Coturnix japonica: one gene and its partner. The protein of the gene in region 1 purifies or fractionates together with the protein of each later gene. This does not show direct contact. Links are inferred from orthologs where the notes say so. Each region holds a gene or a part of one and is shown in the gene's direction. Other genes may lie near its edges.

What was found.
Region 2: the proteins of C2H1orf35 (region 1) and RNPS1 purify together in Homo sapiens (co-immunoprecipitation; 3 studies listed by BioGRID and IntAct, with this or other methods). This does not show direct contact. The link is inferred for Coturnix japonica from reciprocal best matches to the Homo sapiens genes C1orf35 and RNPS1.

What each region holds. Positions count from the first base shown.
Region 1 is NC_029517.1:2,065,332-2,080,323, forward strand, and holds C2H1orf35 (multiple myeloma tumor-associated protein 2), read left to right. Parts: upstream 1-6,480; 5' UTR 6,481-6,581; intron 6,582-6,605; exon of another isoform or gene 6,606-6,756; intron 6,757-7,316; 5' UTR 7,317-7,328; coding exon 7,329-7,422; intron 7,423-7,502; coding exon 7,503-7,653; intron 7,654-8,999; coding exon 9,000-9,045; intron 9,046-9,128; coding exon 9,129-9,208; intron 9,209-9,300; coding exon 9,301-9,373; intron 9,374-9,480; coding exon 9,481-9,560; intron 9,561-9,878; coding exon 9,879-10,022; intron 10,023-10,090; coding exon 10,091-10,304; 3' UTR 10,305-10,441; downstream 10,442-14,992. Other genes in the region: GUK1 (guanylate kinase), read right to left, coding at 447-558; MRPL55 (39S ribosomal protein L55, mitochondrial), read left to right, coding at 5,293-5,318, 5,916-6,087, 6,179-6,322; ARF1 (ADP-ribosylation factor 1), read right to left, coding at 13,100-13,261, 13,625-13,749, 13,860-13,970, 14,163-14,310.
Region 2 is NC_029529.1:12,008,462-12,023,735, reverse strand, and holds the start of RNPS1 (RNA-binding protein with serine-rich domain 1), read left to right. Parts: upstream 1-10,787; 5' UTR 10,788-10,970; coding exon 10,971-10,972; intron 10,973-13,626; coding exon 13,627-13,782; intron 13,783-14,058; coding exon 14,059-14,250; intron 14,251-14,481; coding exon 14,482-14,584; intron 14,585-15,274. UniProt on the Homo sapiens protein: Part of pre- and post-splicing multiprotein mRNP complexes. Auxiliary component of the splicing-dependent multiprotein exon junction complex (EJC) deposited at splice junction on mRNAs.

The sequences.
Region 1 (14,992 bases):
TTAAAATAATTCAGCTCATGTAAATGGATGGTTATCATACAAACCCCTCACCCTGTGCTCATTCTATCCTAAGCCAATGCCCCTTTCCCACAGGCTCCCAGGGACAGAGAAGTTGCACTCACCCACCTGTTGTGTGTCAGAGGATGCAGTGTTCAAATACTGCAAGCCACATCTCTCATGACTAAGGGAGATGTTCTCTTGGGTATTTGCCAGGTGTGAGTGGATCACGTCAGCAAGTTGGGGCTACTTTCACATTACAGGGAACTGCATTAGATCGAATAAAGGTCCCCTGCACTCACTTACAGACACCAAAATGCCCACACATAGATGCAGGCAAAGAATAGAAGCCTGTCACATGGGACGCAAATAGAGGTACAGAACTGAGCTCTGGGCTTGTGGCCTCAAATTCATCCACTGCCCTTCCAAAGAGACAATCAGATACTCACGAGAGACGCTGAAGCCGAAGATGTTCTCATAATCTTTAAACAGTTTCTTTATCAAAGTGCTCTTCCCTGCACCTGATGGGCCGCTCAGAACCACTGGTCTCGGTCCCTGCATGGCTACACAGACAAACAAACACATGGCTGGTTAGAAATAAGTAGAAAATATGGGTTTGAGCTCCCACTGGCATCTCAGATCCACAACTGCCTGTCCTTTAACATTCCATACAAGATAGTGGTGAAAAAATGTCAAATCATGAGAAATCAGAAGATGAGAGCTGATGGAAAACACTGAGGAGTGCAGCCTTGGGTTACATGGACCTCTCTGCAGTTGTTTCTTCAGACAGAAGGCAAAGACTGGGTGTTTTCATGCACCCTCTGGGGAGGGAGAACGGTTAATTATTAATATGTGAATTAGGAGGAAATTTCTGTAGTACAGTGCAGGTTTTTCTCTAGGGACTGTCATCCACCAGCAGCAAATGGGCAGCTTCTAATGCAGAGGTGATGCTAAGAGCAGGATGAACCCAACAGGTCTATTTTTCCTACTTACAACCCTTTCTCTTCTACAAGCAGTGAGGCCCCCAAAAGGCATCTCTTTATTCTAGCCCAAGGAGCGTTCAGCACACAGACAGCATAATGCCTTCCCACTTTAAATCAGATCATAGCAATGTCATCCTGACCTTGCAAATCACTTTTCAAAGAGCCTTAAGCCACACGCAACCTCTTACAAAAGCAGCTGCTGCCAGGGATGGTGTGGCTGGCTTATGTGGCTCTGCTGCCTACCTGACCCAAAGCAGGTCCCTCCTTATCCCCAGGTCCCTGCTGCACAGCTCTGTTACCTCACACACACCAATCAAGCAGCACTAAAGCCAGCAAATCACGAGCTCTCAGTGTTCCCTGCTATCCAAACCTGAACAAAAGGACAGATACACAAAGATGACACAGTCTGAGTGACATCTAATTCATACATGGCCACAAGAACAAGTTCAGTCATCAGCTGTCAAGGATCTGTTTTGTTGCTGCAGGATTAGTCCCACCATACATACATTACCATGCTGCTGAATGAGGCTCCATCACCCAAAAAGAAGAGAATTATAAACGATGAACAAATCCTTAGCAAGTCCTCTTGGGTACAGACCTTTGCTGTTCATCCCTGAGCCTCTGCTAAGCTGTAAATAGACCAGGTTTTCCCTAACTGCTCAATACAGAAAGCAAACACCTCCCCGCACCACCTCACCAAACTCCCATTCAGTGCCCAGAGCAGGGAAGCAATGCTGCTCTTGCTGGCTTTTCAGAGGCATCTCTGTCTCTTCTTGTTCCCCCCACCCATAAACCAGCAGTGGAGCATCACTGAACTGCTTGTGAAACGTTCCATAAGAGAAATACCCCACCCAATATACTGGTCTTCTCCTTCCCCTGGATACTTGCAACCATCTATCAGGCAAACAGGAATGTAAAGCTGCTCAAATCATTTGTGATTATTTCATCCAAGCCCAAGGAAAATGGGAAGGAATAAGAGAAACAGGCACGGTACCCATTGAGTGCTGCCTTCCAATGCACCCCTACCTTTTGCTTTTGCTCCCTCTCAGTCCGGCTCCTCGCAGTGGTGACAGGTTCTCAATCTGAGCAGGCAGACAGAGCTGAGCTATTTGTGAGCTGCCTAATTACCAAGCTGCAATTTTAAGACAGCCAATGGAAACTGCTCGCTGATCTTTAATCTCTTCTTGTGCTTTCTGCTCCACTCTCTGCTCTCCTGGCAGGTAAAATCACAGGCAAACACTGTTAACAAGTTGATGGGTGCCAGCACTTGCTGACACAGACAAAGCAGTGACCTAGCTTCATGTCCTCAGGGAATACCTGGTCTGGTCAGCCTCAACATATCACTCCAGCTTTTGTGTTTCTACAAGCCTCCTTTAAACCTACAACCTCCCAAATCCTCAGCAGACAGGACTAAGTTTCCTTCAAGTCTTGTATTGGAGGCTCGTGACCTCATAACTCACCCCTCCACCCGATAACAAACCCCTCCAATACCCAGTTTTCCTTCTCTGGATACCTGGATGTTAAGAATCTTGCACCTGTGGTGTTATTGAATTGAAAGCCCCCCCAACACACACCCCTTTGCTCAGATTTTGGCACTTCATTGATTTCCAAGCATGAAGCACAAAGCATCTCTCCTTTAAGAGTGGTTTTCAACCCAGCCTAACCACCACGGGTCCCCAAACCCACAGCAGTGTGGTTTTGCAGCTGCAGGTGAAGGCCGCATTGATGCTGTTGTGCCACAAACAAGAAGCACACAGGAAACCATCCCAAAGGCAGGGAACAAATCTCAGCCTGGTCCTGCTTGGTACAGCCACATTGAATTTCACCTGGCAGGTGGCAAGCAAAGCAGCACAAAGAGTTAACCACAAACAAAGCTGATTAGAAGAGAAGTCTTAAAGAGAAGGTAAACCACCCTACAAAGGAGAAAAGCAGCTTAAAGGACAGTCAGTCGGGAGCCCCAGCTAAAGGCTCCTGGATTAGGAATAAAATCCCATTCCCTATTTTTAGCATGTTCTCCACGAACTCCCAACTCCCCCTTTGTAACTTTTAGGACTGATTTCTTAACAGCTGCTGGAGCCACTCATTAACCAGGAGCCACAGGAACTATGTAGCAGGACACGGGGAATGGTTTTAAGTTAAAAGAGGGAAGATTTAGGGTTTTTGGATGTTAAGGCGGAACGTTCTTCACTCAGGAGAGTGGCTTAGGCCCCTCGGAACACGGCTGCACAGGGAGGTTGTGAATGCCCGCCGCTCGCTTGGAGGTGTTAGCCAGGTTGGACGGGGCCCTGGGCCACCTGATCTATGGGGTCCTCCTATGGGGATCTTATGGGGGTCCTATGGGGTCTTATGGGGTCCTATGGGGCATCTATGGGGTCTTATGGGATCTATGGGGTCCTGGGCAAACCTGATCTAGTAAATGTCTGGATGCTTTTGGTGCCTGCCCAGGCAGGGGGGTTTTGCAAAACTACATGATCCTTGAGGTTCCCTTTCAACCCAGGGTCATTCTGTGTGTGTAAGAAGCCAGAGCTCAGAGGTGAGTCTGCCTAACATGCCCTTGGGTTGTGGTTAATAAAAGGCACGGCTTGCTTTTACCCTTCCTCCAAACAGGTTTGCAGTGGCACGTTCTCCTGCCTTCATTAATTCTATACGGGGATTTCTCTGACCTGCAGCTGGCAATTCCTTCCTCCTTCACAAAGAAACACTGACAGGAGCTGAGCAGCAGCTGGTGGGCACAGCAAGCAACATTTTACCTGCAAATGATTACCACAAACCCACAAAGTGCTGATTTAGAAACACAGAACTGATGGGGTTGGAAAAGACCTTAAAGATCATCGAGTCCAACCGCAACCAAACCACCCTGCCCTAACTAACTAGCCTCTGCTCAAAATCCATACCCTGAGCACAACATCCATTCAACCAACTCAAGGATGGGATCTCAATCCCACTCCCTGTGTGGAAGAAAACCTCTATTCAATGATGTGATTGTTTGTGGTGGAGAGCTATGCGTTTTGCTGATATTAGGTGTGTTATTTGGAGAGGGGAAAGTAATAGAGTGTTGCGTCATTTTCAGCTCTCATCTCTCTAGATTTCTCTGAAACAGTCCCGCTAGGTCTTTGCTATGTCTCATAGGGCAACAATGTTCTCGTCTAAGCCCTTCTCGCGTGACTCTTTGTTGTCACTACTTCTTCGGACCCATGCTCCTAGTCATCTTGCTTGTTGTTACATGTTACTGAGGTTTGGCCTTGCAAAGGTCTTGTGGAGTTATTCACCTGCAGGGTCCACAGGTGAGGCGCCGTCACCAGCGTTTTTGATGACTTACTAAGTGTGGCAAGGATGACTTTCTCCTAAGCCGTGATTTGTTTGACGTGTGGTGAAACATTCCTGCATCCAAGCCCAGGAATGCCATGTGGGCCTTGTGCCTTGTGGCACACATGCAGGCCTCACATTCAGCTGGCCTCATCACTACACTCCCTGTGAGGTCGCTTACAGCTTTCAGCCCTCTGGCCTTCATAGTCCGCTCTGAGACGGGCAATGTATGCCTGAACTCTGCGTGCTCCCACCGACCCGAGGAGGCCTCAACCCCCCACCATTTTCACCTGCTCCTCGTGATACCCGACTCCCTCCCCGTCCGCTGCTCGTTGCCCTACCGCCCGTATCGCACACAGCACCGGCTCACGTGCCTCGCTCCGGGCGATGCCCCGCGCAGCCGCATCCAGCTCATGAGGGGGAGTACTGTGGGGAGGGGAGGCAAGCTTGGGAGGAGGAGCTCCGAGTCGCAGCGCGTCCTCGTCAGCACTGATGACGTCACGAGGGGCGCCAGGCGGGAAATAGCTGGGTGAGGTCACGTGAGTGGGGCAAACCATAAGGGCGGAGTGTGGGGGGGGACGGGGGGGAAAGACGTGGGTTTATTTCGTAAGAGGAAGAGTGAGGGACTCGAACAAGAGGAAGAGTTGTGATTTTGAAGCATCGCGTTGCCTGGTGTGTTGGTGGCGGGGATGGCGTGTTATGGTGTGTGGGGGGTGTCACAGCGCGCTGAACCATTGTGGGGTGTTTTGGGGGCCAAACCATTGCGGGGGTGTGGGGGGGGGCCATCTTGGGCAGGAGCGCTTGCAGGGGCGGGCGCCATCTTGAATCCGGTGTGAGGGGCGGGCGCCATCTTGAATCTGATGTGAGGGGTGGGCGCCATCTTGGGGCTGTCCCTGTGTTGTGGGGATGTCACCTCACGCCATCCATCCCCTGGTTCTGTTCTCAACCCTCCTTGTCCACAGGTTGTCCCCAAGTGGCAGCACCGCATCCCCTCGCATAGAGCTCAATGGCGGCTGTGTGGAGAGCGCTGAGGTGAGAGCGATGCTCGGCCATTGGGAGCCCCAGTGTGGGGTCTGAAGAGCGGGTTCATCACCTGCCCTGTGGTAATCAACCCTCACACACTCAGGAGATACACTATGTAGTTGGGGACACTATGTATTTTGGGGTAGTCCAGGCCCTGGTGCTTGGTGCTTTCCCACAGATCAAATTCAGGCAGGAAACTCTGTTCTCCAGTGTCCCATCTAATTAATGTGCCCTTCAAGGCCTCTTTGAAAACCCGTCCAAGGGCAGTTTGTTGGTTATCTGGATACCAAGTATTGCTCTGCTCTTGTGCTGTGAGACCTCACCTGGAATGCTGTGTGCAGATGGCAATGGGGCAGTGAGGCACAGGTTGCCCAAGGAGGCTGTGGATGCCCCATCCCTGCAGGCATTCAAGGCCAGGCTGGATGTGGCTCTGGGCAGCCTGGGCTGCTGGTTGGTGACCCTGCACACAGCAGGGGGTTGGAATAGGATGAGCATCATGGGCCTTTTCAACCCAGGCCATTCAATGATTCTATGATTCTGCAACCCTTACAGTTCCCTTCCAGCTCAAATAACGCTACAGCTCCATGACTGCTTTCCCTCTTGCAGTGCCCTGCAGCCCCGCTGCCTTCACACATCCTGCAGCCGCCACAACTCCAACCGCACCTCCATCACCCACCTCCGCCGCCAGGTGTTCGGCCGCCTCTACCCGCTGCTGCTGGTCCGCACCGACGGCTCCACCATCCACATCCGCTACAAGGAGCCCAAAAGGATCCTCATGGTAAGAGGTTCGACACAACAATGAGTGCACTCAGGGCTGTGCTTTGCTTTGGGTGCTGCAGCCTCACCCTCTGCCATCCCTCCCCCTGCAGCTGCCCCTGGATAGCAGCACGTTGCCCGAGGCTGAGCGCAAGGCCCGGCTGAGGCGGCAGTTCCCCAGCAAACTGCGGGTCAAGCAGGAGGAGACATTGGAGGAGCTGGATTTGGAGAAATACAAGAAATTCTGGAAGAAATAAAGCACCGATTTGGGGTCACCTCCCACCAAGGCCTCCTTACCGAGCTGACAGACGCAGCTATAGAAATAAAAGCCATTTTGTTAAGGATTTATTAGGGTTTTTAGGTGGTTTTGCCTCATTTTACGCCTGCTTTGGGCCGTTTCCCTCCCCCCTCCTCTTCTCCCCCTCCACGCTGCGGTGGTACCGTCCTCCACCCCTCCGGGCCCGGTGGTACCACCCGGGGAGGGGCTGCAGTGCGCGGGCCCCGCGGCCCGGAGAGGTGCGTGCCGTTGTTGGGGGGGGTCGGGCTTTGGGGGTCTCGGGTTCGGCCGTTTTCCCTTCCACCGTCTCTATGATCCCGGTGTGCGGCCCCGGTCCCCTCCCTCCCGTGCCCCCGAGCTGTGCAGCCCCCGTTGGGCTGTCCCAGCTCATACAGACACCCATTGCCAGTACAGGTAACCCCCCCCAACCCACTCAGACCTCCATTGCCAAGCTATGTGTCCCCTCTCTAACCTATGCAAGCCCATTGCCAGCCCGTGTGTCCCTAATGGGTCATGCAGTCGCCTTCCTCCAACCCACTACAGATCTCATGTCCAGGCTTTGCAGTCCCCCTCTACCCCAAACCCATTCAACCCTCCATCTCCAGACTCCAACCCCACTGATCATGTAACCCCCCCCCTCCCCAAAGCTGTGCACCCTCCTCCACCTCCAGACATTGTAGAATCCACCCCATACTTTACCCTTCCCCTCTATTCTTTACAACCCCCCCCCAGCCCCCACCACTAAGGCATCATCGTGACCCCTGCTTGATACCTAAAACCTCCTATGGCTTTAGGATTGCAATAGGGGGCACCTCCCTGCCCTCCTTCCTCATTGCACTGCAGGGGAACCCTTCATCTCCCTCATCCCACCACAATGCATTGCTGGGGTGGCCCTGTGCCTCCCCATTCCTCCTCCCATTGCCCTGCAGGGGCAGCCTGCTGTTCTGCCATGATAACAGGGCCCATCCTTTTAGCACCCCGTCACCATGTTCGGCTCATCCCGAGGAGGGGTCCGGGGGGGCCAGGACCAGTTCAGCTGGGAAGACGTCAAGACAGACAAACAGCGCGAGAACTACCTGGGTAAGGCCTTCATCCCCAGCCCTGCGTGTGGGGTGAAGATAAAGGACTGGGGATAATGTGGAGCTGTTGTATCCCTGCAGGAAACTCTTTGATGGCACCGGTGGGACGCTGGCAGAAGGGCAAGGACCTGACGTGGTACGCCAAGGGCAAGCAGGAGCCCACCCCGCTGTCCCGTGAGGAGGAGCTGGCGGCCGTGCGCCTGGCTGAGCAGGAGGCCATGATGGCAGCACTGTGAGCACCTCCCTACAAACCCCCTGTGACAACCCTCCCCAAAAATAGACAGTCTGAACTGTGGTGGGCATGGAACATCAGGCATAATGGAATCACGGGCATGGAACAGTGGGCATGATGGAATCACGGGCATGGAACATTGGGCATGATGGAATCACGGGCATGGAACGGTGGGCATGACGGAATGGTGGGTGTGGGATGGTGGGCATGATGGAATGGTAGGCTTGGAATGGTGGGCATGGAACACTGGGCATGGAACATTGGGCATGATGGAATGGTAGGCATGGAATATTGGGCATGATAGAATAATGGGCATGGAATAGTGGGCATGGAACAGTGGGCATGATGGAGTCATGAGCATGGAACATTGGGCATGATAGAATAATGGGCATGGAACGATGGGCATGCAACACTTGGCATGGAATCGTGGGCATGATGGAATGGTGGGCATAGAATGGTGAGCATGGAACATTGGGTATGATGGAGTGGTGAGCATGGGATGGTAGGTGTGGAACATTGGGCATGATGGAATAATGGGCATGGAATGGTGGGCATGGAACATTGAGTATGATGGAGTGGTGGGCATGGAATAGTGGGTATGGAACACTGGGCATGATGGAATGGTGGGCATGGAATGGTGGGTGTGGAATGGTGGGCATGGAACATTGAGTATGATGGAATGGTAGGCTTGGAATAGTGGGCATGGAACAGTGGGTATGGAATGGTGGGCATAGAGCATTGGGCATGTTGGAATAATGGGCATGGAATGGTGGGCATGGAACACTGGGCACGATGGAATCATGAGCATGGAACATTGGACATGGAATGGTAGGCATGATGGGATGGTGGGCATGAAATGGTGGGCATGGAACATTGGGCATGATGGAATGGTAGGCTTGGAATGGTGGGCGTAGAACATTGGGTATGATGGAATGGTGAGCTTTGAACACTGAGCATGATGGAATGGTGGGCATGGAACATTGGGCGTGGAATGGTGGGCATGATGGAATAGTGGGGATGGAATGGTGGGCATGGAACATTGGGTATGATGGAACATTGGCCATGATGGAATGGCGGGTATGATGGAATAATGGGCATGGAACACTGGGCATAATGGAATAATGGGCATGGAATGGTGGGCATGGAACATTGGGCATGGAATGGTGGGCATGGAATATTGGGTATAATGGAGTGGTAGGCGTGGAATGCTGAGCATGGAATGGTGGGCTCTCATACTCCAAAATGGGGTTTGGATGGTGCTGTGCAGAGCTGGGGTTTAGACTTGAGGATCCTTATGTGTCCATTCTGAATGGGGCCATGCTGTGACTGCCTGCTTCTGTCACTAGGGGCTACAAGAACGTGAAGAGGCAGCCCACAGGCCTCAGCAAGGAGGTGAGGCCATCCCCGCTGTCCCTATAGGCCAGGACATCCCCCGTGCTCTGTGTTCCTATGGGCTCTCAATGTTTTGCCCACAGGACCTGGCTGAGGTTTGCAAACGGGACAGCACAGAGCGAGCCGAGGACATGGACCGGGTGGTGGGCTTGGGCAGCTCCAGGTGAGCACTGAAATGCTGCATTTCAGAGCAGCTGTTTAAAAACAAAACACAACGTTTATGTTGGGTTTTATGGGTGTCATTTCTGCCCCCAGCGGCAGCGCCGGGCGGGTGATGCTCTCCAAGGAGGACAAGGAAGCGGCCAAGATGGGGCTCTCTGTCTTCACGGTACGTTGGGGTTGATCTGTGAGTTAATTTTAAAGGCAGAGGGACCTTTTATTTGGCCTGTGCCACTCAAAGCACTCACTCTGTGCTTTTCTCTCCCTATACTCCAGCACCAGAAGGTTTGCAGCAGTCCCGAGGCATCTGGATCCAAGAGGAAGCAGGACAAGGAGGAGAAGGAGGAGGAGAAGCGGTGAGGACTGTGATGCATCCCACACTGCCCAGCCCTGGTTGGTGGGTCGGAACCAGCCGGGAATGGCCCTGCTTTTCCTGGCAATATTGTGCTGAACCAAACAGTTTTGCATCCATTGCAGCTCGGTTTGGGCTTGTTCTGCTTCAGCCTGAATCCCTTTAAACCTCCGGGTCACCCTCAGAACTTCTTAACTTTTACTGTTTCTCCTTACTTAAGGAGCTCTGGTGAAGGCCCAGCAGGGCTGGGTGTTGGGTACAGGGGTTGGAGGGATTTTACAGCACGGGGACCCATCGGTGCTGCCCTATTCTGCTCCCACAGGACGGAGAGCAGCAAGAAATCCAAAAAGGAGAAGAAGAAAAAGAAAAAGAAGAAGCACAAGAAGGAGAAGAAAAAAGACAAACACCACAAACGAGACAACACCCCTTCATCCTCCTCCTCCTCCTCTCCAGACCAGGACGACAGGTAGTGTGCTCAGATGGGGGCACCCAGCAGGGCTGTGCCCACGGGGTGACGCCGTTCTGTCCCTACAGACGCCACCGGAGGAAAGGCCAGGACGAAGCATCGCGGCACCGGCACCGCAGACACTCGGGCTCCTCTCACAGCAGCGGAGCCTCGGGCAGGAGCCCGTCCTCTCACCGCCACCGACATCCATCACCGCGGCACAAGGGCAGCAGGAGGAGCAGGAGCCGATCTCCTCGATCCCACAGGGCCAGGCAGCGGCACGATATAGATTCGGATGACTGAGGGGGTTTTGCTGGAAGAGGTTCCATAGGTTCTATATATTTTTTAAGGTTGTTATCTAAATTAAAGTCACAGCTTTACAATTGCCGGGGCTGGATGTTGGGCACCAGCTGGTTGTTGGCTGTGTGTTACGATTTGGATGCTGTGTGTCACATCCCCTCTGTAGGATCTATGGGATGTAATTAACGATAGGGAGCACAAAGCTGTGTTGCTGTGATGGTGCTGCCGTCCCTCCCACCCAACACAGGCTGTTCTGTGTGTCCTGGCAGACAAACACCTCATGCAGGGACTGGTGTCACTTTGCACTCGGGCAGTTTTCAGGGTCTTCTGTTGGCCGAGGGGCTGTGACACCGCTCTGCCTGCAGCACACATTGAACAAGGGCTGCATTCATTGCAGTGGATGGGCTGGAATAAAGCCCTTCTGTCCCGTTCCCCTCTCAGCTGTGGGCATGTGCTTAACCCAGCTGGTGCGGGCAGCAGATGCTGCATGGACTCTTATTTCCCCTTGAGATGGTTTTTTTTTGGCAGGAGTTGATGCCCAGTGTGACCACAGTGTGAATCCTCTCCATCTGAGGGGCTGCAGCCCCATGTCCACACACCATCCATACAAATCCAGGCCTTCTCCATGAGCTCGCTGCTTTCAGGGTCACCTACTGCTGTTTTCAGGGGCCTGGGCAGTGAGCTGTACCTATTTCCTACCCCGATCCCATATCCTAAGGTTTGAGAAAGGGCTGTGAAGGATCCTCACCCCATCCCCTCCTCAGGGCTGAGCACCCATCCAGCCCGAGCTGCCACACAGGTTCCTGCAGGCAGGGAAGGATGGATGGCTAAAATCCCTGTGGGCCCGGCTGAGCCCAGGCCAGAATAAAGCTGGTGCTGCCTCAAAGGCTACTCCCGCATCTCACCCATCGCAGATAACATCATGTTCCCCATCTCTTCCTCCTTCCAGCACGGGCTGTATGACGTGCAACCCTCACACAGAGTTAATGTGGTGTCAGCTGTTGGTTAGTGCTGGAGCACAGCACAGCATCCACCTTCATGGAGGTGTGGGAGGAGAGAGGAGTTGGGAGCTCTGCAGAAAAGCCGGCCCTTCAGGTTCAGTCCCCTCCCAGAACAGGAATAAATAGATGCTCAGCTCGGCACGCACAGAGCCTGATTCAGAGCCTGATAGACAAGGTGAGACAAACAAACAGCTTGGAAAGAATAACCTGACTTACAAGGGTTTTGCAATCCCTTGTCACTGTTTGCTTAACACCGAGTACTACAAAGAGGAGCTCAGTGCAGGAGCAGAGCCCAGGCTCCAGCCACAAGGACATGAATAAGGTGAAGATGGGGCTACACATGAAGCCAACAGGGAGCGTAAAGGGATGATAGAGAACAAAACCAGTGCAAGTTTCATGAAACTTTTTATTCAACAAGTATCTCATTATGATTTTGCCAAGATGATCAAATGAACAGCAAGGCATAAAAAACATGAAATAGTTAAGAGATTTTTTTTATTCTAATAGCTTTAATTACAGTGCTCGTTTGTCGAAATGAAAACTGAAAACAAGTATACAAAACAGTTGATTACTAATCGTGTATTGAAAGCAATAAAGGTTTCCACAACACTAAACAAACCAGTTCTGATAGTTCCTCAAGTTAAAGTTGAACAGCTCCAGCTTCTTCAGTGTTTATCAAAATACAAAAGAAAAAAGTAAAGAGGTCTTTTGATTTCTGATGGCAAATCTGAACCTTGCAGTATGAGGGATGCCAAGGGTTTTCACACATATACAGATATGGGATCGAATACTTCTAGAGTGGAATGACTCTCCTAACTCTCATGCTCTTTGTATTCCCCTAGAGACTATACAGGATGTTTGGTGTTTCTCATGGCAATTCTTACTTCAGTACAGTACTTTCCGACTATAGAGCTTTAGGGCTTGGTGCAGGCTGTGCTTTCTGTGGGTAAGTTTTGCCTTCTGGAGTGGTTGACACACAAAAAAGTACAAAACACTTTGGACAAATAGAACAGGCTTAAAAAGGTGACTCCCAAGAACCGATCTGAGTTCGCTATGGATGCGATCAAATCTCACCCGAACCAAAAGGCGGAGGTTCAATAACTCACCTAAACCAGCTCAGACAGATCTCAGAGCAAGTAGGAACAAACGTGGGCTACAGGAAGAGCCAGAGATACGGTCGTTACAACCTGTGTTCAATGCAGCTCAACCTGGTCCCAACCGCTGCTTCACCGTTTGGAATCAGGAGCCAGCAGAGCTACAAGAGCAGAACTACAGCAAACCTTTGTGTCTTCAAGTGTTTGTTACTTTTCCTCGACTATTAAAAAAAAATAACCAAACAATCATCATCATCATCATACAATATTCAGGTTAAAAACCAACCACCAAAATGGAGCTCACAGATCTCACAACCCATCCGAGATAGAATTCAGCTCTACTGCACAAGGACCGCTGGCAACCCCTACGTTCAGCCACTCCATCCCTTCCAAGTACTTAAACAGTGAGTTGATTCTTTACAATAAAAAAAGCTGAGTAATATTGCATAGGAGTACCAGAAACTGCCTCATTGGAAACAAAAACTATTTACATTAAATAAGAAACCTAACTGTTTTCTGGCTTGTATTTGCCACATTTACAGCATGATGCAATATATACTGTGACAAAAAGAAATGAAAACAGCTTCCGGCACTCAATACCACAAAGTAGCACAGTTTGCCACATTAGAGTAAAGCGAAGGGCGAATAGGAGGAAATAAGAGGGAGGGGGGTGGAAAAAGAGGGAAGAGGAAGGTTTATGGTTTCATTTCTGGTTTCGGAGCTGATTGGACAACCAGTCCAGTCCTTCATAGAGCCCGTCTCCACTAGTGGCGCAGGTGGCCTGGATGTACCAGTTCCTGTGACGAAGAGAATGCAGTCCCAGTTTGTCTGTGATTTCTGCTGCATTCATGGCGTTGGGCAGGTCCTGCGGAGGAACAAGAGATGTTTGACTCACCTGCCAGCTGAGAAGCAACACCTGCCCTTCCTGACCTATCAGTTCTGACTGACCATCAGCTTCAGACCCCCTTTATTAAAGTTAGGAAGGATCAGAGTTACAGCTGATGTCCAGTTTCATTCACTTTTCATTCAGGAGCTGCAGCTCTGATTTGACCCCAGCTGTTATCAGCTCAGCGCTGCTTCTGTTCATACCCCTTCCTACATAAGGACTCATATCGCTTTTACTTCCCAAGTGAGCTGATAGAGCACCACGCTGTGCCTCCTTCCAGTTCACCCACAGAAGGAGCCTTTCAGGTATGAACACACACACATACACCTTCCTTTGGCGTACCTGTTTGTTAGCAAACACTAATAGAACAGCATCTCTAAGCTCATCTTCTGCCAGCATTCTCATCAGCTCTTCTCTGGCCTCGTTCACTCGTTCTCTGTCATTACTGTCAACCACAAAAATCAAACCTAGGAGAGAGCAGACAATAATCATTACAGCACGTGCTGCTTATATCTGGTACCTGGACATGAGAACGGAGCTGTGTTCTGAAGCCTGTGATGTAGGTGTTCACACTCACCTTGTGTGTTCTGGAAATAATGGCGCCAGAGTGGTCTGATCTTATCCTGGCCGCCTACATCCCACACCGTGAAGCTGATGTTCTTGTATTCTACTGTTTCCACATTGAAACCTGAAATAGAACAGGTCAACTGTGTTTATTTAATGTTCAGAGTCACTATTAAAAACATCACCTTGAAATTTAAGTCCCCTTTACATAAGCAGCCTTAAACTTGAGGGGCTCTGAACAGCCAAATATGGGCTGCCCAGCCCACAAGCAGCCCAACCCCAGAGCAAACAGTTGATATAGATATGAACGTCTTACCTATAGTAGGAATAGTAGTTACTATTTCACCCAGTTTAAGTTTGTACAAGATAGTTGTCTTCCCCGCAGCATCCAGCCCAACCATTAGAATCCTCATTTCTTTTTTGCCAAAAAGGCCTTTGAAGAGGTTAGCGAAAATATTTCCCATTTTGAGATATTCTTTCACTGGCCAGTGAAGTCTGCAGAAAGAGATGACAGTTATCACTTGTGAGTCACCAAAGGCTGTTTTCAGACCTGGGTACAACCAGCCACCAAAGAGGCACCAGATAATATAGAGCTGTGGAATCCCTGCCAGCTTAAGGTCTCACCACAAAGCACCTCTTTACCTGGTTTTAAACGCATGCTCACGTCTTCAATGTTCAGTTGTTCCTTCTTTTGAGAAGGAAACTGAGAGCCTGGATTGGATTCACTTCTACTCAGCACAGCTTCCTTCCTCCTGAAACCTCTGGGAGTGGGCAGTGAGCACAACGGCACACAAAGCAGCAATATTCCATTCACTGACACTGGAGAACTTCTTTACGGAACTAATGATATCTCCAAACCTTCAATACCAGAAATGACAGGGTTTCTCCCTTCACTTTGGACATTCAGAAGGGATCAACAGCTTCAAGAGCTGGGGTCACCACCATGAGGTTCTCTTGGAAGGTGCTGCAGCCCCAGTGCTGCTCTTCCACAAGGCCCTGCCATCACACACCTTAGCACTGCAGTCACCAAGAGCCATTATTCTGCCTGCATGAGATGCACAAAGCAGCCTGGAAGCTGTCGGATGTGGCTGGGGCTGTTACACGCTTCTACTGCGGCTTTGTCTAGCAACGCTGATGTAAGTTTGA
Region 2 (15,274 bases), on another chromosome or scaffold:
GATAGATCTGGTTGTTTGGACGAGGTATTGGTGAGATCAGGCAGGCAAGGTGGCAGCAACAGCAGAAAATGACCATAAACAGGCAAGCAAGGTCTTACTATCATACCAATAATAATATCAGCATGGCTTTATCCTACTGGCATGTCAGTTTGTCCTCCATGCTCCTTCCCCTCTGTGGCACAGCACTGTGTAGTAGGGATGCCTGAGCTCCTGATGGAAGCAGGCAGTGCAACTCATTTGGAGCAGCACTCCGCTCACACTAATTAGCTCAGCATTCTCCTTGCCAGTTATTTTGGATTGCTTCCGAATTGCTGCCATAGATTTTTCTCATGTTTTCATGAGAGGGGCAAAAGTGGCCCATATATCTCCCTAATTGCTGTGGCCAATGTGCCAGCAAAAGAAAAAGGGCCTTTCCACTAAACTCAGGGTTGTCAGGACATAGTTGTGTCCCAGAGAGAATGCATCCCCTTTAACCCCAGATCAGTAAATACACCTCCTTTCCATCTGATACCTGCTGGAGTCCTGGCATGGCTGTCCATGCCATACCTTTTTTGCAGACGTGTGTGGGATCATGTGCTCGGATAGTGTTGGTCTTTGTGCCTTTGGACAAACGTCCAGTTCAGTGTCAGTTCAGAAAGCATCAATCTAAATCTCAAGTGCATCTGGGGGAAAGCCAGATGAAGAGAATAAGGCCAAGGCTCTTCAACCTGAAGGACGCAGGGCAGTGAGCTGGGGATGATGGTGTGCTAGCTCTGTTTCCTTGCAAAACTGTAAGCATTCAGCAGCCCAGCCTGAAGGGATGGGTTTCTCCAGCCCTGGCAAACACACAAAGTGAGCTCACAGATAAACCAGCAGCGCCATTTGTTCCAGCCTGCATCACTTCTGATAAACCAGGTTTTAAAATCTTCTGGTCATCAGAAGGGAATCCAGCATGGTTGCTAGCTATCCAAATCACCGGAATGAGCAACGGTACCAGAATGTGTAATGACAGATTTACAGTCGATCGTGTATCAGTCCTCGGGTCAGGGACAGCTGAAGGGCTTTGAGAGAAATGCTGGTGCATTGCAGGGGGCTCTAAAGGAGCACGTGGGTCTACAGCAAGATGTGGAGCCAGGTTGGGTTAAGCCCCTTGAGGAACCACCATAAGCCCAAAGGTCGTTTCCTAGACAGGATAAAGACTTCTTCTGCCAGCGGGACAAAGATGCCACTTTCTTGGGATGGATCAATCTGAGCCTCCCCATAGTGAACAAAGAGGGCTGACAGCAGGCAACTGGGCATAGGAAGATCTGTATGTTAGTTTAAATCACTCTTAAGTTGTTCTAAGTCATTTTTGCTTTGCCACCAGCCATATGCCTTAGCCCAACTGACTGTGGTGTGTTGAGATGTGGTCGTTTGTTCTCTTGTAGTGAGTCTGAGGAAGGATGGAGCAAAAAACCTCTTGTGTTTGGCACAAGGCACATCTGTGGGTGGCAGCTCCTTGACAGGCCTGAGCTTGATTCTATAATGTCTGCTCTGCATCAGACGCCCTTTGGGATTTAGGAAGCACAAGCTGCTGGGAGCCGGGGCAGCCATAACCACATAACACCACATCGAGTGTGAGGGAAGCGCTAATCCTGTGTGTAATTGCTTGGCAGGAGGAGTTGCTGTGGTTTCCCTATAAACTGTTTGTGCCCAGGGGAGCCAGCAGGTTTGAGTCCTACAGCAGCAGCTCGTCTGGCCCTGTGCTCTGCTCCTCCTGCTGCTCTTGTTCAGGCTCTGCTCTCTGGGCATCCTGGTGTTCCTGTGAGGCTGTGTCAGGGGGCAACGTTTTGTGGAGCAGCTGGAAAACCCACAGCTCTTGAAAGCTGCCTTGTTTCAAACCAGCCTTAGTTCCAGCATCCCCTCTGCCCTCAGCCACTGCCTGCCCCTCCACCTGGTGGTGCAGGGCTGCTGTGGGCAGGGTGCTGGTGTATGGGCAGCCCGGCCAGCACAGCATTGAGTTACAGTCAGGCCCCCGCAGGAATGCAGGGCCCTGCCAGCGTGACCCGTTCAGATATCCCAACCAACATTAGGAGCCATTGGCCATCTTTAAACCAGATAGGTCAAGTTAATGTCACAGCACAGCTTTGCCAGTAGGAAGGTTTCTGGAGTGCTTCCTGGGGGAGATAGCCGGGTTTGCTTTTCCTGTTTGTCCTGTATTTTTCCATTCCTTTGTTCAGCCGCTCCTTCCCTCAGTTCAGCACTGATTGGAGTTGGGAAGGCACCAGGTTTGGGATATTGGAGGGCAGTGGGGAAGCCCCAGTGGGCCAACTTTTCCCTGGGCTGCTCAGATGGCCTCTAGGGGTTGTTTGAAGACCCTGCCTGCTACAGGATGAGCCAGTGAATAGAAAGAGACCTCTGGAGAGCAGGCAGCGCTCGATGAAAAGCCTGAGCAGCAGCAGCAACTTGTCTGGGCACCCAGCAAGTCTTCTCAGCCTAAAGATCTGGTTCTGATCAAGCTGCTTGTGCCTGCCATGCGAGTAAAGAACATGACTCCTTGCACCAGCTCCCTGCAAGGAAACTCAGTAAGCCACGGCTGTGCTTGGAGACAAGAGAAGCAGATTCAGGAGTGGAGCACAGAGATTTATTTTACAAGCCTATGAGGAGTGACCCCAAAGGGCGCCCGCCTGTGAGCTGACCCGAAATGCAAACCCGCTGTTCACAGCATCAGCAGGCAGGCGCTGGGCTCGCAGCTGATCCGCTGTAATCCATAGGCTCTAGGAAAACAATCTAACACATCCTTATCATTAAATACTCGTGTGAGAGCTCGGGAGCCACTTGTATCCCTGTTCCTGCTTTGTAGCTGCAGCAGAGTTTTGCTGGCAGCACTCAGTGCTGTTTGCTGAGGGAGAGCAAAGCGTGGCAGCTGGCTGCAGCCCTGCATGTTTGTGCCTCCCTTGCTCCTATGCAGCCCTCTTCCTTAAGACACATTCATTTCCAAGCTGCCATAAGCAGGATGAGCACAGAACATGCAAGGCACAGTCGAGAGCCCAGAAGGTATTTTGGGGTTGGTTAAAAGGTGATTTCTGTGTTCAGCTGCTCTGTGCCCAAGGGTGAATCTGAGCTGCTGCAGTGGGGCTGCAGTGTAACGAGGGGCTGTCAGCAGCAGAGGGCACTGACAGTGACAGCAGCATGTGGCTGACATGGATGGGACCAAAAATGATACTTGCGTGTAGAGTAAAGCAACTTAGAGATGTGTTCTTTTCTCCCTGGATAAAGGAAGGGATTCTTTGTTCTGATCTTTTGAAGTCAGTGGGACGGTTTCTTTTATTATCCCAAACTACAAAGCCCCAAACGCTCACCACCTGGGGATCAGTGTCTGTGTTTCCAAGTTCTGTGAAGCTTCAAATGCCATTTGGCCTCATTTCTTTTCCCAGTTCATCTTCTTCTCTCTATGCTGTGGCTGCTGAGTTTGTCGTCGTTCCTCCGTGTGCATGTCAGCCATGCCAGTGGTGTCTTTTGGAAGGATGAGCAGTGGCTGTTCTTTGCACTTTCACCCAAACTCTGGAGCATGCAGTGCCAATTTTTGGGTCTCTGAATGTTGCTTTTTTAAGGAAAAAAAGATCTGAGAAGGACTTTGCTCGGGATGTGGTTGCACAGCAGCATAACTGAAGGACTCACTCTGGATGGGATGGAGACCACTTTGCTGGGTGCAGCAGCTGAAGGCAACTGAGAGCAAAAGGGCTCCAGCTCTGCTCCTGTGGTGCCCGTGGTCTTGATTGAAGTGATGGGGGAAAGCCCCAGGGCTTCCTGCTCTTCTCTCAGAGCAAAGGGACAGGTGAAGGAGGCACCCACCTGAGGTTGTTATTCTTTTTTGTTTGTTTTGTTTTGTTTCTGAACAGGAGAGAACCACTCCTCCTGGAAGCACTGAGAATATTGTGGAAGAGATTGGTGAGTTGGGCCAAACTCTGAGATTGTGCTTTTGCCATTTCAACCAGAAGTGATGGGGTGAAACACTCCTGGCTTTGCCCTCTCGTGCATGAACATCTGTACTTCCAGCCAACTGTTCAGGCTCCTTCCTCGTTAGTGCTCAGAGTCCAGTTGTGAGTGCTGTGCAGTATCTGGTAGGCACAGGGGGTGTTGCTGATTTCTAAACCAAAGTTTATCTTGTCCCCATACAAAGAGGCCCTTCCTTCCTGTGGAAGTGGTGAGATCACAAGTTGAGTCCTCAGTGGGCAGATCTGGTTAAATGAAGGAGGGCTTCCCACAATGGGCCGCGTGGGGTTCGTGCTTGTCTCAGCCCTTCAACAACCTGTGGGTTCCCAACCAGCCCTCAAAAACATGCAGTCGACACCTACCTTTGGTGGCAGCTTCTGGAAGCTTTAGATGTTTTGCTACTATCATCCACAAAAATGTTTTGTTGTTTGTTTTTTAACAACATGAAATAACTAAATCCATGTTTTGTTTTAGAAGAAATCTTATGTCGCTGAGAGAAAAGCATTTATCAGTACCAATATATTATTAGTGCAGATGCTGTTCTTACAAGGAAAATATTGAAACCTTTTCACCTCCAAACCTACTTTGGCCTCCTTCACCTCCCCCTGGGTTTGGTTGTTCCCCCTTTAGCGTTAGTAGGAAAACACAGTGGGTGATTCGCACTGGACGCCTGCACTTGGCATCCCACCTGTTTGTGTTCTAGAAAGATGCAGTCACTTGTGAATACCAGCGTTGCCTGTTGAACCATTTAAATACTTAAATAGGTATACTAGTCCTATTGTGAGCATCCTTGCAAACGCTTACCTTTGGTCTGCAGCATCTCTAGAGATGGATCCTCATATCCCAAGGAGCCCCTCACCAAAAGCTTACTGCAAAGCCGGCTCTCCAACCAGCTGGGCCATGTGTTGAATGACTTGAGCAGCTTGCCAGCAATTTAGTATTGTGTGTGTTAAAGGGAAGGAAGCCCTCATAATTTTAATTTCCTCTGCTTTATCGCACACGGGTGAAGCCACTTCACCCACTTCCTTCCTCCTCATGTAAACCCTGCAGATTTATGTTTGGAAAGCTCAGCTTATTTATATACAGACTTAAGTCACCTGCACACGCATTTAACACAGTAACTGTGTGTGCACCATCTGACAGTGGTGAAATGTGTGTGCGACACACAAAGCACAGGCACAGATTTGCAGCTCACCAGTGAGCCAGGAGGAGACAGAACAGCAACGCACTGATGGCAGCTCTCCAAAAAGGGGCCCATTTCTGGCCATTCTGTTTTGTGCTTTTCTGTTCTGCCTGAACCGATGTGAGAAACAGAGCAGGTGAGGCACTTCCCAGGAAAGCAGGAAAGACAACTTCAGGTGCTGGAGGAGGGTGTGCTGCACTCATCAAGCCAGATGTATTGGCCAGCATGAAGAAGAAGAGAGGCCAGTGATGTGGCCATGGAGCCATTTGGTGACCATTCCTCTGTGCGCACATAAGGACAGTGAGCGTGCTGGAAGCCAATGAGTCCCCAGCTCTGCCTGCGTGGGGCCAGATAAAATATGGCTGCAGAAACCCCTTCTGGTTCTTGGAGAGGGTGTGGGATGTGATCTCCCTGTGCTGTGCAGTGATTGTGATTTCAGGAGGTCAATGTGCTGGGTTTCCAAATGTACCACCCCACTGGAAAATCATAATCAAGCTGGAGAGGATAGAGGTATTTTCAGCCAAGGATAAGGGTCAGTACAGCATTTACATGGGATGCAGCACTAGAGTCAGCCATTCTTAACCTCCTTAGCCCCACCAGCAGCTATTGCCACACAAACCTCTGCAGGGCCTGCTGAAGACTTCAAGGAGCTTATCAACAGAGCTGTGTCTCTCTTTGTCCTGCTTCCAGAACAAGCGGTTCAGGAGACGGTAGACACAGATCCCTATGCGAGGAGAAGACAGCACCCGACTGCTTCCAGGAGATACCGTGAGGGTCACTGGTAAAGACAGCTCTCCGTGCGCACCCCTGTTTTGGTTGTAGCATTCCTTGCAACCTCCTTCCTTTGTTTTCTTGCTCTCCTGGGCTCTGTTTCTGCTAAGCTCAGATGTGTCCTCGAGGGGTTGGGGTGACAGGAGAGCTGCTGGCATCTCCTGGTGTTGTTGGTGGCTCCTATTGCAGGAGAGGAGCTGCAGGAGTGGGCGAGGGAAAGGTGATGTTGTGAGAATGGGGGATGTGGGGGAACACAGAATAGTCCTGGGATATTTCTCCTCCTTTGATGTGTGGCAGGAGCCCAGGCCACACAGGAGGAGAAGAACTGAAGGGCAGGTGGCACCATTTCCTTCCTTGATGTGGGCCAGTGAAGAAAGGTTTTCATGAGTGACCTGAATTGCTTGGCATGTCAGCAAGGGTTCCCATCACTCACTCTGTGTCCTGTCTGGGGAAATGCAGTGGAAATGGAGGGGTCTTTCCCAGTGCAATGCCTCTGGGTGGCAGCTGAGCCCCTGATGGCACCCAGCATCTGGCCAGCATCCTGCTGGGCTGCAATGGCCATGCAAGGCACTGCAGCTTGGTCTGCCTTGTCTGAGCTGTCCTCCGTTGCTGTGCAGACATGCTGGGAGTTGTGCTCTGGGTACAAATAGGAAAGGCTTCATTACTGTGGCAGAGCCACTGCACGCAGGCTCATCCCTCAGTGTCTGCCATGCAGATGGACCAGAGCTGAATGGACTGAGAGTGGGCTCAGCCCTAAATTTGCCATGACCCAGGTGGTGGGATGGGGAGTAATCACACCTATGGGAGCCCCAGGTGTGCTCTCACTGTCTGTACAGCTTCCTGGCCACTTTGGGTAAAATAGGAGAGCAATGTGGATAATAGCTTTGTGCAAACAAGAGAAGAGTGTGACCTTGTACTGTTCAGCCACTAAAAAGCACCTGCTTGGGTTTCTTTTTTTCTCCTCTGTTTCATTACTCAACATTTAGATGCACTCAGAGAACACTTCTGTCATCCACAGCTTGGGGGAGCTCGGTTTTGCACAGCCACACTCCATTGTCGTGCAGTTTGTGGTGCACTACCTGTATGCAATATATTGTATCATATGCAGCATGTGTGTATGGTATGCATGTGTAATGATACAGTTTAGCCTTGTTTTGGCTCTGCAAAGTAAGCCACCCCAAATCCTCTGTCAGGGCAATTTAGAGCTGACATAGAGCCCCTGAGCATCAGGTTATCTTGACAGCTGAAGTAACCTTCCTTAGGCACACCAAGTATCTGCCAGTTTATAATTAGAGCTTTCCTTGGCAGCTGCACCAGTGCAACGTCAGCTCAGAGGAAGGTGGGGAGAGTGGAGGAGGCTCTTGGTGCCTCCCAGCACACTGCAGAAAAGGCATTCAGAGAGCCCACCTCCAGGAGGCAGTGAGCTGGGAAGAGGACGTCTCTTTCTATCAGGGCTTCTGATTTGCTCATTCAGGTTGCTGATTTGCTCATCTGCACTGCCACAGCTCAGCCCTTGTCTTATTCATTCAGGTGTTAAGTCCAGCTTGGGACACTGAAGCCATTTGGGTTTTACACCCATGCAAATAAGATGAGAGTTCAGGCTGGAGCTGTCAGTGTACAAAGAGCTGTGCAACCAAGCAGGCAAAGAGCAACCCAGTGGGGTTCTGGCTCTGTCCCCTTCCCATCCCCAGTATGGCAGTCAGGACAGAGCACTACCCCAGCCAAGCAGTGGGATGCTGCCAGCAGGTTCTCACTTTGCTCCCCATGATCTGAGCTGCCACGTCCTTAGGCTATGATATATCAGTAGGTCTCACCTGCAATCTCTGGGCTAAGGACCATTGCTCTGCTCTAGCAAGCATCCTCCCTGCAAGGGTGGTTCCATTGGTTTGTTTCTGCTTTCACTTCAGGATGCAATTGTTTTCCCCTCAGTAACTGCATGTTTTTTTTCTGTTCCTTTCCTGCAGGCGTGAAACAGCCAGCCAGCCTGAGACCGACAGCACTTAGAGCAGTTGCTGGTACGTGTCCCTCCCCTCGCTGCCCATTGCCTACAGCTCCATTGTGGGGTTAGGTGGCCACAGCTTGTGACACCCCTCTGCTGTGGTCATTACATGTGAATGTAACAGAAACAGAAATTTACCTCTATAGCCATTGCTGTCATCTGCCTTGAAGTGAATCTAGCCCTGCAGTGGGGGTTTGCTCCTGGGGAGCAGTTTAAGTGCCCACCAGCAGTGCCTGGTCCCATCAGAGCTGCCCCTGAGAAGAAGCAGAGCCCACCCTCAGCAGTGGCCTTGCTGGGTTTGCCTTCCCACCAGGACGTGGCCCACCAGCACGTGCTCCTGCTCCTCCTCCTGCAGTCTCTGTGTGCTTCCTCTGTTTCTGGGTACCAACTTAAGTCCAGCCTCACTCTCTCTCCTTCTGTTCCCCAACAGCTCCGGTTTCCATGGCGTGTGGTGGCAGCTTGCAGAACTTAGCAGCATTGCAGCCTTCCTGGAGGAGACCTGGAGTGAATCAAGGGGTTTGGTGGGGGAGGGAGGGGTCAGGGCATCTTTATGGCATACCCGGGTGAGGGGAGGAGGAATACTCAACATTGCAGTTCCACTTTAGATAGGGCAAAGAGCTTGCCCTGTGCTGAGGCCAGGTCAGGTACGTTTGTTGTTTCTTGAGAATAAACACTCCATCTTGTTTGTAGAGCTGCAGTGTTGATCTAATCAGGAATTCACTGGCAGCATCCAGCACAGCTGCTGGGGCTGGCAGGCATTGCCCTGCACCAAGAGAAAAAAGCAATGCCTAAAAACAGAAGGCAGAATCTCAAGAAGCACCAAATGATTTGGCCTGGCCAGTTTCTTTTTGACTTAGGCACTGCAATAAGTGCCTGTTTCGGGTACCTTGCAGAATGCAAAGCTATTCCAGGACCTGAGGACATCGATAGCTGGCAGCTGCCTGGCTTGACCCTTCTGGCTGAACTGAGATGGGGTTTGCACACACACTGACACCGGGGGCTGGCAGCACGTAGCTCCATCAGGGGGTGCCGGGCAGAAGCTGTTGCCTGCTGCTTCAGTTCAATATCTGCAGATTCAGAGAGGAGCCAGTGAGTGTTGGGGCTTTGGAGGGTTTTCCCTCTCCAAAGCCCTCTCCCATATGGCAGAACTTGAAAGTCAGAGAAGTTGGATGTGACCAGTGACACTGGGAGACAATGACAGAGGCTCAGTGGGGAAGAAGAGTAAACAGTAGGTAGAAATGCTTTGGGTGCTGATCTGTAACCCACTAAACCCCATCCACTGGCTTTTCAGTCCCTTCTTTGCAATGTAAAGGCTGCCCCGAAGGCCTTGCAGCGCTCCCTCATCTGCTGCGAGTGCTTAACATCCTTGTGCTTCAGTCCCTGTGATATTTAGTAATTTAGTCTGCCAGGAAAAATAGAAAAAAACACCCCTACAGATCTCACAGTTGACAGCCATTCCAGCCAGCAATGGGGGAAGGAAAAAAGCTGAAGTGGACAAATAGTGAGGATTTCCTCGGGATTCATCTAGAATGGATGCAGATGAGCAGCATAAAGGTGCTGGAAATAGCCTCTAAGCAGACAATGGCTGCCAGGGTCGCCCTGTGAGTGGTGCTGCCCTTCCAGGCAGACTCCTGGCAGCACACACAGCCTGCAGCTCCTGTAGCTCTGCCCCAGCTCACCCAGTCTTCCTAAGGCCCAACATTTAATCCTAAGGGTGGGAAGCGTGTCCTCACTGGGGCTGCAAACTCCAGCCTGAATACTTCACCTTGCCCCTCGGATGAGCACATAACCCCTCACCCAAGCAGCAAATGCCTGACATCTCTCAGCCTACAAGGGACAGGCCAGCAGCCCTGAAAGCGCTTTGCTGGAAGCAGCACGGAAGTCTCCAGCTTCAGGAGGGCAGTGCATGTTAGACTTGCTTGCGGAAGTAGCTTTAGAAGCAGCACACGCAGCAGCCTGCGCTGTAGAAGTAGCAGTAAAATGAAAAGATCCTGTGAACACAGGGAGGAGCTCAGAGATGCCTCTGCTGCAGCACATACACGGCTGAGCACAGCTCAGCACAGCTGGGTGCTGGCACAGGCTGGGGACAGCCAACAACCTCACACCTCCCATGGCCATCCAGGCACCGGCAGTTGGGTACCCTGGCCTTGCTTCAGGGTGCCTGGAAGTCTTCCCAAGGCAGCCTCCAGCAGCACGTGTCTGTGTGCACAGCAGAGTCAGCCCGTTCCTTGTATGAACCATGCGTGATCGGAGCAAAACCAATAAACACTGAGCTCTTAGTGCCTCCTGCCTGCTGGAACTGCTGACCTGAGCCTCTGTGCTTCACCTCCCCACGTCCCCTCCCACTCATTCCATGTCCCTGGTGGCACCTTGGCCGCCTCCACGCAGCCTTGGCTGCGCACAGTGCCCATGTCACCAGTGGGACGTGGTGCAGTGTCTGTCACCTCAGCCATGATGTGGAATTACCAACAGCAACAAGTACAAAACCACGACACCCCCCAAAGCAGTGGGAGCTCAAAGCTTTCCCCTCGTGCTGTGGCCCATTAAACATCATTAACTATGAGCGTAAATCCGCTTCTCCCACCCCAGTGTCATCCCCAGAAGCGCTGGCACTTGGTCTGCTGTCCCATGCAGCATCTCAGCTGAACCTCCATCTGTTGTATTCTCTGGGGGGCTGGTGGCCATTCCAAAGCTGCACCCACACCCACTGAGATCTTATTTCCTTTAAGAGCCAGTTCAGCCCTTGCTGTGCTCTGCTGGAGCAATAGGGAAAGGCTCACGTCCAGCTGCTGACACTGAGAGCCAGCTATGCATTGGGAAGGTCACCATTCGTCAGGAGCCATCACGGACATGATGAGGCGGACATGGCGGTGCCCATAACGGCACGGGCCGCCCACAGACCGTGACAGCAGGACAACATGGATCCCCTGCCCGGCCCCTTTAAGGCGCCCACCTCCCCTCCTCCCCCCTGGTGACGTCATCACTGCTCGCCACACGTTCGCTCTTCCCGCTCGTTCTGCGCCAATCGCGCGCGCCGGGCCCGGAGCGCTGAGAGCGCCGAGGATGTGAGTGTGTTGGGGCTGAGCGCCGTGCGGCCATCGGCCGCCATCGGCCTTTCATCCGCCTCCATCCGCCTCCATCCGCCCCGCCGCCGCTTCGGGGCGGCACCGCCGCATCTCGGGGCTGCCCAGGGGAGCGGGCGGGAGCCGACGGAGGGGATATGGATGGACGCGGGGGATAGGGATGGCGCCGCGGCCTACCGGGGGCGGGGAGGAAGGCGGGAGGCCGGGCCGGGGCGGAGCCGGGGCTGAGGCCTGCAGCGGAGTTGGGGCCTGGTGGTCCCGGCGCCCGGCAGCGGCAGAGCAGCGAGTCGGGAGCGACCCGCGGGTCTCGCTGTGCCCGGCGTCGTTCCGCAGCCTGAGAGCGGCTGAGCCCCGGCCGCTCTGGGCCCCGCGCTGCCATGAGCTGGGCCGGGGGCGTTGAGAGGAGCTGCCGAGCGGGCTGACCTTAAATCACGCGAGGAAAACTTTGCTATAGTTGTTGTTCATATAACTATAAACAAGCTGCCGTTGCAGGGCGCGCCTGCCCTGCAGGAAGGCTGAGGGAGAGCCCAGGTCGTTGCCTTGGCTGCAGCTCTCTGTAAGAATAGGTCTCATAGCTGACTGTGTGCAGGGAATGGGCAGCTTAATAGAGTGCCCCGAGGCCGGCTGGGCTGGGCTGGGTGCTGCACAGACACTGAGATGTTGGGGATGTCGGGTTTGGTTTCCATTCTTGGAAGGGTGGATGTTGCTTAGAAGTTCCTTGTGTTGTTTTAATGTGCTCATGCTGCGGTGTTATTCTTTATGGAGGTGTGTTTTAGTGAATGCCTGAGCACCTACAAGTGAAAGTGCCCAGAGGCTGCATCTCCCAGGCTGATCTTTCCAACTAAAACTGTCCTGGGAAAGGTCTGTGTTCATTGGGTGAAAGAAGAACACTGGTTACCTTAAGGGCTGCCTAAAAGCAGCCTTTCACAGGAGGTTGCTGGATGTGTAAGCAGCATTTGGCTGTTTAGTCTGGTAAGTGCCAGCCCTGTGGGTGCACACAGGAGTGCTGCTGATGGTGCTGTTTACATGCAGCTCTTCCCAGCTCTCCAGCAGCAGGCAGGACATTAGCAAAGCACTTGTTGGGCTTCTGAGCTCTCACTTCCCATCTTGCAGAGAGGTGGAACTGGGTGATCATTAGAGTATGTGATAGATGCAGCCCTCTCATAGGAAATGTTTGGAATTGAGCTGTCAGAGTTCAGGTTTTACATGTAAACAGTTAATAGTTACACATGCAGCACACTGGCACACACGTTCATTCTCTTCCAATAACTCATTAATGTATGTTCGTGTTCCTCTGGGCATGCACAGTTACACTGAGGGTGGTTGCTGGTTGTATGCCCACTTACTTTGTCCCCATTTTTCCACCATCAGTTCCATCACTGACATTTTTGATTCACCTGGAGCTGGTTTTCCCCAATTTTGCAAACGTCCATTGCTTCTTAGGCCATAATGGGCAACTTCCAAAACAACGTGTGTGGAAATCCAAGGAAAGCGTCCTTGCCCCTGGTGAAATACAATGACCAGTGGTCTGTCGTGACTCCAGTGCTGCTTATGAAGGGGAATTGAGAGAAAACAAGGCTGATCACACACCAGGCAAAGCAGAAGTGGAGAGTTTTAGGACTAGTGCTCATTGATTCCTTTTGCTGAATTAATATATTGCTCCTCAAACTAATATACTGATCTCTGTTGCTCAATGAACCAGCCTATATTGTTACTCAGCAGCCATCTCTTCCTGCCAAGCATGTGCTTTGCTGCACAGGGTGACTATGGAAGAAACCAGAGCTTCCTCTGGAGATGAGGATGTTGTCAAGAGGCAGGAGCTGCATGTGTGCCGTGTGTAGGAGATGAATGTCCTCTGTGTGCCTTCAAGGGGAGCACATAGCGAGGGTCTTTTGTACTTCTGTGAATATCACAATTTGTAACTTTAAACACGCATACAGGTCTGTATTCCATGAAGGTTGAGCTGGCCCAGGGGCTGGATGTAACTGCCATGCAGTGCTGTGCCTGGCTGCAGTGCCCTGGAGAACACACTTGTCCTCTGGTGTGCTGCCACTGGTGCACAGCAGCTCTGCTCTTCTGTGTCTGTTCATCTTGTTTCTGAACACTCTTACCTTGTCACTTGGCTGCTCTGTTGCTTTCAATTAGGGGTCACTTCTCAGAAGCAAGGGGTTAGAACTGAGATTTGGCACAAGTGAGGCCTGTTTTGCTTTGGATACCTCTGAAGGGGAAACAGAGTTAATGGGAATTAAAAAGAAGAGTTTGCTGGGTCTTAAAGAAAATAACAAAAAATCCAGCACTAGGTAATCATTCCAGATTTTCAAGGCCTGCTGGAAGCGGGGATGCTGTAGGGTACTGGGGCTTTCCCAGTGAGGGTAAGGAGTTGAAAATATCTCTGTGGGTGAACTTACACATGACAGTAAGTTCTGTGTGCTGGACCTGCTGTCCGCAAAGCTGCTACTCTGCAATGTAACACATTTTCCTTTTTCCTAAAAAGCTCGAACTTACCTAATGCTTTAACTCTGCTCTTTTGGTGTCTTCAATTACATTTAAAGTTCAGTGTTTTGTGTTGCTGTTCTGTTCCTTGTTTGAGTGTGTTTTCCATATTAAACAATCCCTTCTGCCATGTATTCTTGAAGGGCTCCCTCACCAACCAAACGCAAGGATAGGTCTGAAGAGAAATCAAAGGACCGATCCAAGGACAAAGCAGCCACTAAGGAATCGGGTGAAAAGGATCGTGGTCGGGACAAGACGCGCAAAAGGCGCAGTGCTTCCAGTGGGAGTAGCAGCACCAGGTAGCTACCATTACAGGCAGTAACAAATACATGTTTTCAGAGCCACCTTTTGCTGACTTCCACACGGCTCAGATTTACACAACCTTTGAATTGCATTGGTCACAATGGAAAGATTAAAGGAAGGGGTTTTGACCGTTGTGAAGTATGGTGGAATTAGTGAGCTATGGAGAGTCGGTTTTCATTGCTGTAACTTGCAGTTGCTTTCTGTCTACCAGGAGAAGAGCTTCAGCCATTCTTTTTCTGGGTATTCCACTCATGTTTTGCTTCCTTTACCAGGTCCCGCTCCAGCTCCACTTCCAGCTCAGGATCCAGTTCCAGCACTGGTTCCAGCAGTGGCTCGAGCTCCTCTTCTGCCTCAAGCCGCTCTGGGAGCTCCAGCACCTCACGCAGTTCAAGTTCCAGCAGCTCCTCTGGATCCCCCAGTCCGTCCCGACGGAGACATGACAACAGGAGGCGGTCCCGCTCCAAGTGAGTTCATGTTGTCTTTAGGAATTCCTACAGAGCAGGTTCCTTGTGCAATACAAGGTTGTGATCAAACAGATTTTTACCAAGGATGGTCTGCATTCTCCGTAACTTAGAGATGTGAATTTTGTTAGAACAGGCATGTTTCTATTAATGGCAGTCAAAATGGATGCCAGCTTCTAGTTCTTGTCGTCTTGTTTCCCCTGAAAACTGTGAATGTTTTCATGTCCAAATCAGGTCCAAGCCACCGAAGAGAGATGAAAAGGAGCGGAAGCGGCGCAGCCCATCACCCAGACCTACAAAAGTGCACGTTGGGAGGCTCACTAGAAACGTCACCAAGGTAATGGCATGTTCTCCTGTAATGCCACGCAGGTGCACCCCTGTGGGCGTGTGTTGGTGGCTTTTTTTAAAGCCTTCAAGGTTTGTTTTGTTGCTGGTGTACTGCCAGCACATTGCTGTTGGAAATGCTTGCTTTGTGTCCAAACTGATGAGCGTGGAATGCTTCAGTAGAACTTCCTCAAGTCAAATTAACTGTGGGCTTGTGTAATTCAGTAGTGTTAAAAGTTCTGTCTGCCTTATTGGTACCCGAGAGCTCCACCTTCCTAGGAAGAAAGCTGTAGAAGTCAGTACAGCAGTAGAAATCACCTGGGAGGCATTAAGGACACCTGGGGGGTTCACCAAAAGGAGCTTCAGGAGAGCTGGACTGGCTGGAGTTGTCTTTGCTAGAATGTAGTTTAAAGGTCTGCAGAAATACAAGTTTAGGGTGCTGAAAAAATGCTATTTAAAAACACAATATTAAGAATTGCACCTTAAGACTTTCTAAGTGAGGACACAACTTCACTTTCCTAAGGTCCCCAGGAAGGTTTTTACACTAGTGCAGCTTTTGTAGCCTGTGGTGGTGTTCAGCCAGTAATTCTGTTAAGGATTAGAGTGATCTGAAGTGAAACAGACATAGATGTCAGTAGAGGATGTGGTAATCTCAGTGTCCTTTCCACACCTGATCAGTGGAATATATCTCCTGCAGGTGGCA